Pelodiscus sinensis: one gene and its partner. The protein of the gene in region 1 purifies or fractionates together with the protein of each later gene. This does not show direct contact. Links are inferred from orthologs where the notes say so. Each region holds a gene or a part of one and is shown on either strand. Other genes may lie near its edges.

Region 1 (6,889 bases):
GGAGCGGCTCAGGACCGGAGAGCCAGAGGAGGCAGCTAAAGGCTGCTGCAGCTCAGGTGGGAGGGCACCAGCATGTGGTCAGCTGGGCCTGATTCATGGCTCCATTGTCCTCCTGACAGCCCCCCAGCTCGGGGCCAGCTGCAAGAGCTGCCTCTGGAGGCGGGGCGGGGTCCAGGGAGTTAGAACAGGGGAAGGAGAGGCTGGGAGCCTGGTTCCATTTATGGCTCTGGATGGAGAGTGGGGTCTAATGGTCGGAGCAGAGGAAGTGATTGTCACGAGATCAGACAGAAACCCAGTCTCCTCCACTCCTAGCCATGGGAACAGATGGGCTCCCCCTCAGAGCTGGGTGCAGCTAACTGGTCAGGTTCCCCCCACTTCCTTGGAGAGCCAAAACCTGGGAAAATAAGTTTGATTCAGGGCACAGGCTGTGTATTTTTTGTTTGCGCAGCCCCCAGGGTGACGAGGGGGGGGAGGGGGGCCATCTCAGCTGTTCCGTGATCTGACCGGTAACAAACAAATTTGTATTGTTGAAAATTCCTCCGTGTCTGTTTACTGCGGGTGGGACATTAAAGTAGGCCCAGGAGGGGCTGTGCAAAGACAGATTTTCCCCTAAATCACCCAAGGTTCAATCAACAACAGGGCTGAAAAATCCATGCTGGGGAAACAAGAAGTCAGCTCTCCAGTGAATGCTGGGGGCCAGGCACCCAGGAGTCATTTCTCAGCCCCAGCAGCTCTGTCCAGGTCTGAAGCTGCCCCAGAATCCTCCGCACACTCACAGGAGACGGGGGATACTGTCATCTCTCCATCGAGGCCAAATCCCACCCTCCACTCTCGGTCCGGAGCACCAGGCTGGGACAGATGCGCCTTGAATGTCCTGTCACCCGCCCAGTCCTCCTGGCCCAAGGCTGCCGCAGGGTCCGGACACAGCCAGCACCTGGCTGGGAAGTAGCGCTGGAGAATGCTGAGATGCTCCTCAGCCTCTGTTTCCCCGGAGACCCGCATGGAGGCGATGAGCTGGCAGCTGGGGGCAGATCCTTGGGGGTCCATGCCCAGGCGCCCCGTGAAGTATGAAGCTGTGTCCACCAGCAGGGCTGAGAGCCGGGCGACCGCCTGAGGGCCAGGGCAACCGGCGAGGTACTGCTCCAGCCCGTCCAGCAGGATGAGGGCAGGGGGCCCAGGCAGGCTCTGGTGCAGAGAGGCCAACACCCGCAGGAGCTCCGGCAGCGAAGGCGGGTAGAGGAACTGGACATGCTATGGTGGAAGAGGAGGGGGCTAATGGAAGAGGGATTGGGTCTGTCCCAGCCCAGGATCCCCTCCCTCCACACCAATTTGCCCTCTAATCTTTTCCATCCATGTGTGAAATAAATTGTTTAGGTGCACCACCCGCAGAAACAAAAAACCTAACGGGGGGGCTAACCAGCTGGGTGGCGTTTAAATCTCCCCAGCAGCCACACAAGCACCCAGTTCAGAGGGAACGCTGTTCCCGCACAGTCTAGCCTGCTTCAGCCCAGGATCCCCCATCACCAGGCCAACCACAGCCCAGGCCTCCTGCCTCCCCACTGGCCTCTCCCTTCCCCCACCCAGCAACCCATCCCAAACATCCAGCCAGGCCCAGCCCGTCTCATGTCAGCACCACCTCCACACAGCCCCTCCCTGGCTGACTCTTCCTACTCCTCAAGCTCCTCCCCTCCCGTGAAGCCCCGCCCCTTAGGCTCCTCCCCTCCCGTGAAGCCCCGCCCCTTAGGCTCCCACTCTGAATTGCTTTGCTCCATCCTATCAGGTGCTGCTGCCTTCAGCTCCCCCCATTCAGCCTCCCCAGGAGATAAATCCGGGCCCCGCCCCAGGCTTTGCCCCCTTGTGATCTTGGCCCCGCCCCCGGCTCTTGGCCCCGCCCCTCCCAGGCCCTTGGTTCCGTCCCGCCCATCTTAGCCACGCCCCTCAGGCGCCTCTCGTTGGCTCCGCCCCCCGCTCTTGGCTCCGCCCCCTAGCGCTTGGCTCCGCCCCCACCTGCAGGCCGCTCTCCGCGCGCCGGGCCCCCGGCAGACGCTGCAGCGCGCGGGGCGCCAGGAAGAGCGCGCGGGGCCCGGCCAGCGCCGCCCGGAAGAGCAGCGCCGAGCGACCCGAGCGGGCCGGGCCCAGCACCAGGGCCGGGGCCGGGGCCAGGCCGCGCGGAGCCGCGCCGAGCGCCCGCTCGAGCGCCACCGACATCGCCCCGCCCTCGCCTCTGTCCGAGCCAATCCGCAAGGACGCCCCGCCCCGCGCCCGGGTGACAGCCAATGGGCGCATCAGGTACAGCCGCGCCCCTGGCAACTTCCAGCCAATCCGGAATAAGGCCCGCCCACTCAGGGTCCTAGCCAATCCTGGAGCGGCTTCCCCTGGCTCCTCTTTTTCTTACCTTCCAGCCCGTGCGGGAGGAAGGCCCGCCCACTCCCTGAACTAGCCACTCAATTGAGGCGGCCATCTTGGGCCGCGCCCTCCCCGGAGCCAATCGGCGCTCCTCCCTAAGAGCCCCGCCCCCTCCCTAGGGAACGCAGCCCGGGAGCCGCGCCCATCAGCCCACGCCTCACCAATCCGGGAGCGGCGCGCGACGGACCCCGCCCCCTCCGTTCTAGTTCGGAACGCGGGCTCTGCGCCTTCGCATCTCCCCACGTGCCGGGGTCACAGCCCCGCCCCTCCCCTCCCGAATAGGGCCCGCCCCGCCCCCTGCTCTGAGAATTCCCCCCCCCCACCGGGGATAGGACCCAGGAGTCCGGGCCCCGCCCCCCCACCGGGGATAGGACCCAGGGGTGCGCCCCCCCATCTGGCCCCGCTATAGGACCCAGGAGTCCGGTCCCCGCCTCCAGCCCTGCCCTGTGCACGGGAGCCAGCTGACGTGCACTGATGGGGGAGTGGAGAGGGGCATCCATGCAAAGCCTGGCTGCACATCGGTGGCCCCTGCATCCCCAGCTCCCCCCGCCCCACAGTTCAGTCAGTGCCCCTGGATCCTGACCTGCAGCCCCTGCTATCCCAGAGATGCCCCTGGATCCCCGACCCTGAGCTGCCCCGCTCCCCAGAGCTCTACTGACGCCCCTGGATCTTGACCCACGCCCCCTGCTCTCCCAGCGGCTCCCCCCATGCTGGGTCAATGCTCCGCACACCCGGATCATCAGCTCTTCTGTGGTCCCAGCCCTGGCCCCTACCCCTTCCACCTCTGCCAACCCCCTTAATCTCAGCCTGTCCCCCTGTTATCCCACTCTCCTCCCTCCACAGCTCCAGCCACAGACCTCCTCAGTGCTGACCCATAGCCTCCTAGGAAAGGCGTCAGAAAAACATAGTTCACTGTGACATGGAGTCCCTGGGGGATCGCTGGCTATGGGCCCCAAAGGCAATCGAAGGCCATGGGGGACTTGGAGGGGGATTAATTCAAACATTTAGCAGTCACTAAACGGTGGCGTTTTGAGCCGGCTGGTGTTTCCATCTGTCCCTGGCTCTGTGGGGCATCTGCAAGCCTCTCGCCATCTGTCGCCTGCTAGGGAGGAAGGGAGAGGGGCCAGCTCTGGGGGGGTAGGGAGGAGGGCCAGGCTGGCAGGAGTTAATTTGCAGTAGAATTGGGGAGGGGAGGAAAATCTAGGGCAACCCCAGAGAGTGGACACTGGCTGTGATGCCTAAAGAGCCCCCTGGTGTCCTAGCGTTACCACCTGGGGCTACATGAGAGCAGGTGCAGCCCAGCCTGGGGTGAAATATAAAGGAAGCTCGTCCCATGTCCATAGCTGGGGGGCAGAGTGGGATCTCTGAGCAGCAAGGGGTCAAAAGGAAGCCACCCTGAATCCTGGGGTGGATCCCATGCCCCCTTCCCTCCCTCCCCACAGATTTTAAGGGGGGATCCAATTAATGAGATTAGGCTGCGATCACAGCTCAGGGCATCTCAGTTGTTAATTACCAGCTAAGGCACAGAGTGCCTGTGCGTGTGTGTCCATGTGTCAGGAGGATCAGGAGTCAGTGTGATTTCCCAGGCCAGATGCTGGAGAGCAGAGTGAAGTGGCTCTGACCGTAGACTGGGGGTCCCTGATCTCCCCTCCCCACACATGCTCAGATGCCCAGCCTGGGGACTGTTGGGTATAAAATACTACACACCCCTACCCGCAGAGTAATGGATTCAGGACGCAACCCACCTCACATGGACACAGACATGCACCTAGATGGGGTACATAAAGAGTCTGCCATGGGAATATGCCTCACTGAGCATGGGGGGCTACCAAGGGGGCTTTGGTACCCCAACACCCCCCCCAACCTGCCCCAACTTGGACTGCTCTAGAGGCAGCATGAGCCTTTCGCTCTAGGGCAGGGGTTCCCAACCTGGGGTAGGCATACCCCCAGGGGGTACGAGAAGCTTGTCAAGGGGGTATGGGGAATATTTGGTAAATAACTAGGTTATCCTATTTGAAATATTCCAATAGTAGTCGTGTTAGTGAAAAACGTTGTGGATTCTAGAGTCTAGAATTTATTTCCTTTCATATTTCCTAAAAGCCAAGGGGATATGGGGACCGAAAAAGGTTGGGAACCCCTGCTCTAGGGGGACACCAGATCTGACCCCATCCCATGGACTGGTGGGCACAGGGGCTTGCCCTCTGGTTTCCCTAGCCAGCTTTGCTGGAGCTCTGTCACGTTCGGAGGGGAGGGCTTTTAACTCTCATCTCTCCCTGTCTCTGCTGTGAATGTCTGGGAATCCATTGTTAATGGACAGCCAGGGCCTACTGCATCAGCACCCGAACTGGGGGTGTGTGTGGCGTGTGCGTGAGTTGGAATGGGAGAGCTGGAGAGCTGTTTTCGGGGCAGAGAAGTGGGAAATAAAGTACTATAGTTGGGCTGATTAGGGGCAGGAGAGTGGGGGTACAGTGCATTGGGCAGGGGATGGGGTGCAGCTGTACCAGGGTCCCCTGCTTTGGCACATTTCTGGTTGGTGCCTGGCTCCGGGAAGGGCCTCTGGCTGCAGATGGCCGGTGCTGCTGGCACGGGGCTGGCAGGGAGGCTGGGATGGGCAGGCGGCTGGCAGCTGGGTCCTGGCCAGTCTTAGGTGAGCAGGTCGTGAGTGGGGTGCAGCATGGAGCCAGCTCCCTGTACTGACTCGGGGAGTGAATCATCCCAGCACTGGAGCCCCCCTCCCCCTGCTCTTAGCTCCCCCAGCAGCCCCCCCCCCCCCCGAAGGATGCTGGCTGTTCATCTGGTCAAGTGCCATTTTCCAGGCCTCTGTCAGAGCTGCCAATCACCTCCCCTCTCTCTCTCTCTCTCTCTCACACACACACACTCCCTAGCAACTGCGTTGCCTAGCGCCTGCTGCTTTGGTTGCCGGGCAACGCTGAGAACTTTCAGGGTTCCAGTGGGTGGAGAATTTTTAAGGGGGAGGCCAGAAATAGCCCCCCCCCCCCGATGATGTCTCCCCAGACTCGATCCCACCTGCAACCTTTAGTGACGGGGCAGAGGTGGGGCGGTGGATGAGTAGCATCTTCAGTACCTATCGGAGGGGGAGGGACTGGGGTGTTCATTGCCCATCCTCCACCCTGATCTGTGTGTCCCTGGGTTGCTAATGTATCCACCGTTGGTGTTTCTGGGCACTGAGTTTGCCAGGGTGTGCTGGGCCCCATCACAACCTCCCTGCCACACACATACTGTGCACGGCCTGGGGGTGACAAAGGCGGAGTGGGAGCTGGGAGGAGACGGTGCGTGTCCTGGGACCATTGTGGTCAGCTCCTTGCACCTCCTGCATGTCACAGGCCAGAGATCTTCCCCCAGCAATCCCTGCGTGGGCCCATCACCTCTGTGTGATGTGAGAGGGGGCTGTCCTGGAGCAAGGGGTGGCTCTCGAATGGGATGATGCTGGAGCTGGGGGTTTTAGAGCAGTGAGTTCTGGCGTCAGTGGTTTTAGAGATGGGTTACGTTTGGGGTGGTGGGAAGGGTGTGCATGAGGTTTGGGGTTCTGGCACGGGGGGCTCCAGAACATGGCGGTTTTAGAGTTGGGTAGGTCTCGGAGTGGGTTCTAGAATGGGGAACTTCCCAGTGCAGGGGACTGGGCTGGTGTGACGGTGGAGCTGTGAGATCGGGGTTTTCAGTGGAGGGTGATTCTGGAGAAGGAGGTTCTGGAATGGCGGGGCTCTGGAGTAGGCATGCTCTAGAGCTGGGGGTGATGGACTGCGGGGGGCGCTGGAGCCTTTTCCAAGCCTGCTCTGTAGGCTGAACGGTTCCGCTGGGGGACGGGCCAGGACCCTGCTGGAGTAGAGCTCCCAAAAGCGCCAGCTCTGCCCTTTGCGCAAAGATTCAGGCAGGCTCCCTGCCTGCCTCCACTCCACTGCAGAAGCCCAGAGACCGGATCCTACCCTCAACCCCCATGGCACTTCCAGATCTGGGGCTTTGACCCTCTTCCCGGGCCAGGAGGAGCCAGCTGCTCTCCTGGAGGCCCCTCCCAGCAGGCTCCGAATCCCCATGTGCTGGTGGGGTTGTCAGACCCACTCGGAGCAGAGATGGGGGATGACACATGGTCCTCGGAAGGGACGTATCTAACCAGCCCCCCCACCTGCCAGCAGAGAACCGAGAACGGTTCCCTTCCCTGCCCTTATTTACCTACAACCGACGGGCTCTGGGATCCGTTTGCATCAGGTCAGGAGTCAAGTCCCAGCCTCTGACAGCCACCCCCAGACCGGGAGCTCTGGCCACTCATCCTCCCTGGCCACTGACCTGGGCGTCAGAACAGATTATTGTAGCCATCCTGGGTTTGTGGCTCCGGCCAAGCCTGTGGTTTGCCTAGACTGGTAGATGCCTGGACCCCTGGCAGACTGAACCTCTGAGCTCACCTAATCTGACCTTTGGAGACCACAGGCCTGCGAGAACTCCTGTTTGAACCAGGACAGAGCTTTCA
Region 2 (7,790 bases), on another chromosome or scaffold:
ACTAGTGGGCTAGATGGACCATTGGTCTGACCAAGTACAGGCAGTCCCCGGGTTACGTACAAGATAGGGACTGTAGGTTTGTTCTTAAGTTGAATCTGTATGTAAGTCGGAACTGGCGTCAGCTGCTGCTGAAACTGATCAGTTTCAACCGCGGCTGAATCTGGATGCCAGTTCTGACTTGCATACAGATTCAACTTAAGAAACCCAGGTGTCCCCAAGTCAGCTGCTGCTGAAACTGATCAGAGGCTGATTCCAGGAAGCCTGGGGCAGAGCAACTCTGCCTCAGGCTTCCTGTAGTCAGCCGCTGGTCAGTTTCAGCAGCGGCTGACTTGGGGACGCCTGGGGCAGAGCAGCTGGGGTGCTGCTGGGTTGCTCCAGTAGCGCAGCTCCTCGGTGCTACTGGAGCAACGCAGCAGCACCCCAGCTGCTCTGCCCCAGATGTCCTGATTCAGCCACTGCTGAAACTGACCAGCAGCGGCTGAATCAGGACGCCTGGGGCAGAGCAGCTGGGGTGCTGCTGGGTTGGTCCAGAGCGGCGCTGCGGGACCAACCAGGCAGCCCCCAGCTGCTCTACTCCAGGGGTAGGCAAGAAAAGCCTGGTCTGCTGGGGGGGGCACTAGCTGTACCCCGCCCCCCCCCAGCAGACCAGGGAGATGGGGGTGGCGGGACCGCCTAAGTCCTCCACGGCTTTGCTCCGTCTCCCTGGTCTGCTGATCTGGGAGACGCGGAGCAAAGCCGCAGAGCACGCGGGCAGTGGGACAGTCGTCCAGGCGCGCCGCGGCTGTCCCGCTGCGGGCGTGCTCCAAGGCTTTGCTCCCCGTCTCCCTGCAGACCAGGGAGACGGAGAGCAAAGCCTTGGAGCACGCCTGCAGCGGGACAGCCCAGGCGCTTCGGCTGTCCCGCTGCGGGCGTGCTCCGCGGCTTTGCTCCTGTCCCCCTGGTCTGCTGGGGGGGGGGGTCCAGCGGCTTTGCTGGACCCCCCCAGCAGACCAGGGGGACAGGAGCAAAGCCGCCCAGGCGGCAGGGGTCCCGCCACTTGGGCGGCTTTGCTCCCGGGCAAACGAGCAAGCCGCCCAGGCGGCGGCTTTGCTCGGGTGTCCCTGGTCTGCTGGGTGGGTCCAGCGGCTTTGCTGAACCCCCCCCCCCCCCCCAGCAGACCAGGGAGACCGGGAGAAGCTTTTCTCGCCCCGGAGGACACGGGTGGCGACCCGCTGCCCGTGAGCTCCGGGGCGAGAAAAGCCCTGTTTATAAGTGCGGATCCGACATAAGTCGGATCCGCGTATGTCGGGGACTGCCTGTATGGCTGTTTTTGAATTATTAAAGCTACTTGATGCATGCCTACGTGTGCTACAGTCAGCCTCCCCAGTTGCCATATAGACATACTTTAATTGCTACTAAAATTCTCTGTCTCAGGGGCTGTGTCTAGACTGGCCAGTTTTTCCGGAAAATCAGCTGCTTTTCCGGAAAAACTTGCCAGCTGTCTACACTGGCCGCTTGAATTTCCGCAAAAGCACTGATTTCCTACTGTAAGAAAAGCGTTTGTGCCAATTTAGACACTCTGTTCTGAAAAAGCTTTTAATGGAAAACTTTTCCATTAAAAGCATTTCCGGAAAATCATGCCAGTCTAGATGTAACCTACAGGAAACACAGTTCTGGTAGTAGCATTCCCCATAGTATCCTATTAGTAAATCTTATCCTAATGTGGGATCACTCCAAGAGTTAGACAATGCATTTGGCATGACTTTTCTTAATTCTTGGCTTCCTTGCAGAGACTGTCAACAAATTAGTTCTTGTTAAGACAATGGTTGCTCTGAGATCACATGGACACTTTTGCACTGAGAAATGGATTTGAGACAGGTCACAATTCTGTTTAATTTTAATAGGATCCAAGTCAGACTAATCAGCAGTTATTGTAGTGTCCTGTGATTTCCTGGACAATACAAGTTATATTGTCTATCAGGCCTTTAAAAGGAATAATAATGCATACAACTTGCCATCTCCCAGACACTTCAATTTAAACACACAGTTTTATTAACTACACATATATAGATTTTAAGTGTAAGTAATGAGGCATAAAATCAGATATAATAATTATACAAGGATAATAAAGCTAAAACACAACAGGTGCCTAACTTAACTATCTATGTTAAATTGAAAGTAAAGTTTTCTCATCAAATTCTTTCAGCAGACTTAATGACCAAACTTCTTAGGTCAGTGCCCCTCTTCCAGTCCAGTGGCTGTTTCTTTTGTCCATTCAGGTGCAGTGAGAGGAGCTTCTTTTATGGATGTAAAATCCTTTTGAAAATATTAACTGGTTAACCAGCTTATTATGGTGCACTGAGAGTGGTGGGTTGCTGGAGCAACCCCCCAACTATAGCATGCCATGGGCAGAGGGCTGCTTTTGTCGGGCAGGGCCCACCAGCTGCAGTAAGGTGCAGTAGGCATACCTGCAGCACTGGTTAACTCAGTGTTTCTTAAACTGCGTTCCACAGCATACCAGTGTGCCGCGAGGCAGTCGGAGATGTGCCATGGAGAACAACAGAATTAAAAATGGCCACCCTCAAAGGGGCAGGTGACCTTTTTTTCTCAATAACTTCCCCCCCAACTCTTTCTCCCCCTGACGTTTTTTTCATCAATACAAAATCCATGGTGTGCCCCATTAAAAAAAATTGTTTGGTGTTTCTTGGTCTTAAAATGTTTAAGAACCACTGGGTTAACTGATTACCTTGGTAAGCATGCCAATAAGGTATGCTGGCATGTTACCCCTTTACATCCGCAGTTTGTTGGAAAGTCTGTCCCTGATTTTTATAGTTCCATCCTTTCATCTGAAAAGCATTGCCAACGGGGAGCACAGAGAATCACTGTGGATGAGAACTCTATGCTATTTCTTTCTAAGATGTATATTTTTGTTTGATCACTGCCACTTTTCCTGTCAAAGAATAGCAACTTTTATGAATAGTGACCTTCAGCCTTATTCAACTGTGGCTGAGGCATCAGCTACCTACCACTTGATTTCTGAGGAACTGGTTTGGCCACTTTCCATATATCCCTGAAAACATTATTATCATGATCTCAGCTTATGTTTATAATTTGACATGTGATATGCATTTGGGACTTTTCAGTTTAGAAAAGAGGAGACTGAGGGGGGATATGATAGAAGTATATGAAATCATGAGTGGTGTGGAGAGGGCAAATAAAGAAAAGTTATTTATTAGTTCCCATAATAGAAGAACTAGAGGACACCAAAATGAAGTTAATGGGTAGCAGGTTTAAAACTAATAAAAGAAAGTTCTTCACACAGCATATAGTCAACCTGTGGAACTCCTTGCCATAGGAGGCTTGAAGGCTAGGACTATAATAGAGTTTAAAGGGAAGCTAGATAATTTCATGAAGGTTAGGTCCATAAAAGGCTATTAGCCAGGGGATAGAAATGGTGTCCCTGGCCTCTGTTTGTCAGAGGCTGGAGAAGGATGGCAGGAGACAAATCACTTGATCATTGTCTTCGGTCCACCCTCTGTGGGGCACCTGCTGCTGGCCACTGTCAGCAGACAGGCTACTGGGCTAGCTGGACCTTTGGTCTGAGCCAGTATGGCCGTTCTTATGGCATGTAATTAATGAGCAAGTTACAAGCATTTAAATTATCTCTCATGGGACATGCAATGTTACTATCATGTGTCGGGTGAGAGCACATGGATACCTTCCATTACAATCCTAGAACCACTTCCTTTTACAAAAACCTGGTTTGAAAACAGATGATCCTTACCCCGATCCCGTAAAACCACAGAGAGCCAGGTGATCTTGTGGCAGCTGTCACAGCCCTACACAGCAGCCTGCCTGCTACACAGGGAAGAGGGTGACTGCAAGGTAGCAATGAACTGAGCTGCCCAGTAGATTGTGTAACTCAGGGGTGGACAAAAGGGCCTCCGCGGGCTAAATATGGCCCACCAAGCAGGTTGATCCAGCCTGCGGTGGCCCTGCCACTCCTCTGCCCCCAAGCCAATTATAGCCTAGGGGCAGGGGGAGCACAGGAAATTTCCTCTGCCCTGCAAGGAGCGTGTGATACTTAAAAGTGCCATGTGCTCCAGGCAGGGTAGGAGGAGACTTTGTGCGCTGCCCCTGCCCCATCAATCAGGGCCTAGGGATAAGGGAAGCAGGCAAAGTTTCCTGTACCCTGCCCCCACCCTGCAAGGCGTGCATGGTGGCTGGAAGCACCACGGGCTTCTGGCAGGGCAGGAGCAGACTTCCTGTGCTCCCCCAAGCCCTTGCTTGGCCTGAGGTTGGGGAGGAGGGAAGGGAGCAGAACTCTCTCATGGTCTGTGGCTGGGGAAGCAGGGACATATCCGGGCCCCGACCCTTCCCATGTGGCCTGGGGCTACTTAAAAAATGTCTGAAGTGGGCCAGGTAAAAAAAATTATTGCCCATCCTGCTGTCACCAAGCCCTTGAAAGGCCCAGTGACCAGCTGGACCCAGTCCCACGCGCGGCCTCTAGGGGGCAGCAGGCACAAGGGCTGAGAAGTGCGCGAGACAGGTACAGGCGCCCTCTGCCGCCCTCCTCACGCCTCTGCCCCTCCCCAGGCTCCCAGCTCCGCAAAGGCGAGCAGATCCCAGCCCTTCGCCAACTCTCACGCACCCATCCTGCGCGTGCGCATACTAAGGGGGAGCGGACGCACAAGTTCCACAGCGGACTTGCTCTGCGGAATACGATAAACGAATGTCCCCCCCGCGCCACGTCACGCGTATTCCCGCACGCCTAGCCAATCAGAAGCTGCTGTGCCGCGGGCGCCAAACTGGAAAGGAGGGGGCGTGGCAGGAAGGGTGCAGACCCCGCCCGAGAAACGGGGAACTGGAGTCAGTGCGCTCCCCCCCCCCCCCCCCGGGCATCTCTGTCACGTGGCAAGGGAGCGGCTGTGGCAGCACAGGGGGCGATGGCCAGTAGGAAGGTACCGGCGCGTGAGCGGCGCGGGGCCCGGTGGAGGAGGGCGGGGGCGGAGTCAGCCGCGCGGGCGTCAGTTGTGCAGCGCCGAGCGCAGCGTGGGAGCCTCGGCGCAGGGGGCGCCGGTGAGAGACACCTGCGAAATGTACCGGGGGAGCGACATTGCCCGGGCGGCTCGGCCTGCCCCCCACCACGGGTGTGCCCCTCGCTTCCCGGGGTGCTGCTGTCCCTTGGGAAGTGCGTTCCGCTCTCTAGCCGGAAAGCGGCAGGCAACGTAAGAGCTGGCCATTGCCACTATGCTGCGGGGATTGCAGCGTATTTATCTTTAACGGACACAAGTGAACCCTACTGTGGCCTCTCTTAAGCGCTTGCAGAGCCCACGCTTGCTGTTTAACCTCTGGTAACTTGTAGAGGGGTCTTGCAAGAAAGCTTGGAGCCCTGGCCCCCTGAGTTCTGTGCATGGCATTATCACTATCCGAGGACTTGTCCAAACATGCACATGGTTAACTTTAACTTTATCTTCAGATGGTGCCTAAGGATAGGCTTAAAAGTTCATGCACAAGTGCTTACAAAATTGGCAAATCCTATAAAAAAAAAACCCCGACCAGTTATCTCAATATGCTGCAAACGTCTTTGGTATAGCCAAAGAATAACAGCATTTTGTGTGAAAATGATAGTTCAACTTTATGTTCTTTTCAGCTTGCAACTATATGTTTTGTGCACAATTGCTTCCAAATAGCAGGCTGCCTCTTCCTCTCCTTTCACCCTATGTAGGTGCTCAGGTTAAAGATTTCCCCCCATTATAATAAATAAGTATTGTAACATTTCCCTGTCCGGCTGTGTGTACGTTGATAGTTCCCAAGTTTGGGTCTATAAAACTGCAGTGCTCATTAACCAGCCAATTAGATTTTCTTCTTTTTCATTCATGAAGAAGCAAAAAACATGCAAAAAGATTTACCCAGCTGTAGGTTTCTGTTCTGAAATTTTAGTATAGTTCTTGACATTTTCTTTGGTTGTGGATAAGGCTATGTCTACACTCTACACTGCATAGCTTTTCCGGGATACCGTATCCTAGAAAAGCTATGCCGCATCCGAGGAACGCGTCTGCTTCTTTTTTTTTTTGAACAATTTCCAAAAAAGCGGTTGCATTCTTTCACCATCCCTGTAATCCTCATTATATGAGGAAGAAGGGATGTGTTGAAAGAGGAGATTTTTCCAAAATTTGGCTCCGTATGGACAGGCCAAATTTTGGAAAAGCCTCTTCTGAAAGAAAAGCGGAAAAAGATACACACATTGTGAGTCACAATTTGCATATCTTTTTCCAACTTTTCTTTGCAGTCAAGATATAGCCTAAGAGGGCTAGTGCAATTTTTGGAAGCATTAACAAGGTAATATTGGGTAGCCCTAGTTTTTGTCTGTATTGGCACTGGTATGATTTCTACTGAGATTTCTGCAACAATTCAAGAAGGAGGTCAGTAATGTAGCCTAAAATTTTATTTAAAGTGAATTTAGAAACACTGTATTATACCGCTTTGAGTTCAACTCTGCTGGCAACAGTATCTGCTACCTGCTTCAGATTTAGAGCCTCTACACAGTCAGCAGACCACTGGTGGTCTATGGCTGCTTTGAGGTGGGCTGTAGTTTGAACTTAACCTCCACTGCAGTGGGGAGTCTGCCCTGGCGATTCAGCCTTGCACCGGCACCCCCAAAGTTGGAGTGCCAGCTTCCTGCTGGGAGAAGGGAGACAGCCCCAGCCTCCCCATCGGATCTGGTTCATAGGGAAGAAGCAGAGCTTGAAGTGCCTCTGCGTGCTCCCCCTCCCACAGCTGGGGAAACACCAGTGCAGGGACATGCTGTCTTAGAGGCTTTCTTCTCTGCTCCCATTGGCTAGAATCTGGCTAATGGGAGAAGCGGGAGACTGCAGCTGGGAGTGCGGGGAAAGGGGATTCAAAGGCTGATTAAGTGCTCTCCTTCCCCTCACATCCAGTAGGGGCATCTCCATTATCCTCATGCACTCCCCCGCGCTACTCCTGCACCCTTCCTCCTGGTCAGGCTCTGCACGTACCCTTCCTTCTGCCCCCTCTTCCTGGTCAGAAATCCTACTCACAGCTTGCTCCTGTACCCTACCTCCACCCCAGACCTTGCATCCTCACCCCACCCACATCTCACACCTCCATTCCTATTCTATTTGCTGGCTGCCCTGTCCCGCACACTGAACCCCTCATTTGTGGTCCCACCCCAGAGCCTTGGGAGAGGGAGGTCCACAAAATCCACCAACCTCAGAACACCAAAGAAAAGGTAAACTGGTCTATGGGAAGCCTTGAACCTCATTCTTTTCTGTCTTCCCTCCTCCTCAGCCCCCTGAGGGACTGAAATGTCAGGAGAGTGAGGTGTCTCACTTGGGGGACACATCAGTGGGTGTTGGAGATTGTGGGGGTTTTTTGTTTTTGTTTTTTGCTTTTCACTTGTGGTCCCTGACTGATTTTTTTTTTCCTGTGGGTCAGTGGCACCTGACCCCAAAAAGGTTCCCTGCCATAAATAAAGACAATGTTGAAACCTTTTGTGTTATTTAAAATGAAATTTGGTAAACTAAACATTAGAAACTTAAAGCATTTAATCTGTTCAATAATTTCGATTAATACTCCCTTTCTTACTGGTTAAATTAAACCATTCTCCCTAGCTGCAGCACTAGCAAAATGGCTCAGGTGTAATTTAATGGCGAGTTTCCATTAGTAATTGGTGGTCCACAGAAAGGTTTGTCTTGTGCATGGGGTGGACCACGGGCCAAAAAGTTTGAGAATCACTGCTCTAGAAAACATAAAGACCAATGGTAGTGACCACACATCTGTACATCTAC

What was found. Proteins that work in one complex are often made in the same cells at the same time.
Region 2: the proteins of SWSAP1 (region 1) and SPIDR purify together in Homo sapiens (co-immunoprecipitation; 3 studies listed by BioGRID and IntAct, with this or other methods). This does not show direct contact. The link is inferred for Pelodiscus sinensis from reciprocal best matches to the Homo sapiens genes SWSAP1 and SPIDR.

What each region holds. Positions count from the first base shown.
Region 1 is NC_134729.1:12,541,455-12,548,343, reverse strand, and holds SWSAP1 (ATPase SWSAP1), read right to left. Parts: upstream 2,266-6,889; 5' UTR 2,209-2,265; coding exon 2,008-2,208; intron 1,252-2,007; coding exon 712-1,251; 3' UTR 501-711; downstream 1-500. UniProt on the Homo sapiens protein: ATPase which is preferentially stimulated by single-stranded DNA and is involved in homologous recombination repair (HRR). Has a DNA-binding activity which is independent of its ATPase activity.
Region 2 is NC_134712.1:70,338,160-70,345,949, reverse strand, and holds the start of SPIDR (DNA repair-scaffolding protein), read left to right. Parts: upstream 1-4,783; 5' UTR 4,784-4,925; coding exon 4,926-4,940; intron 4,941-7,790. UniProt on the Homo sapiens protein: Plays a role in DNA double-strand break (DBS) repair via homologous recombination (HR).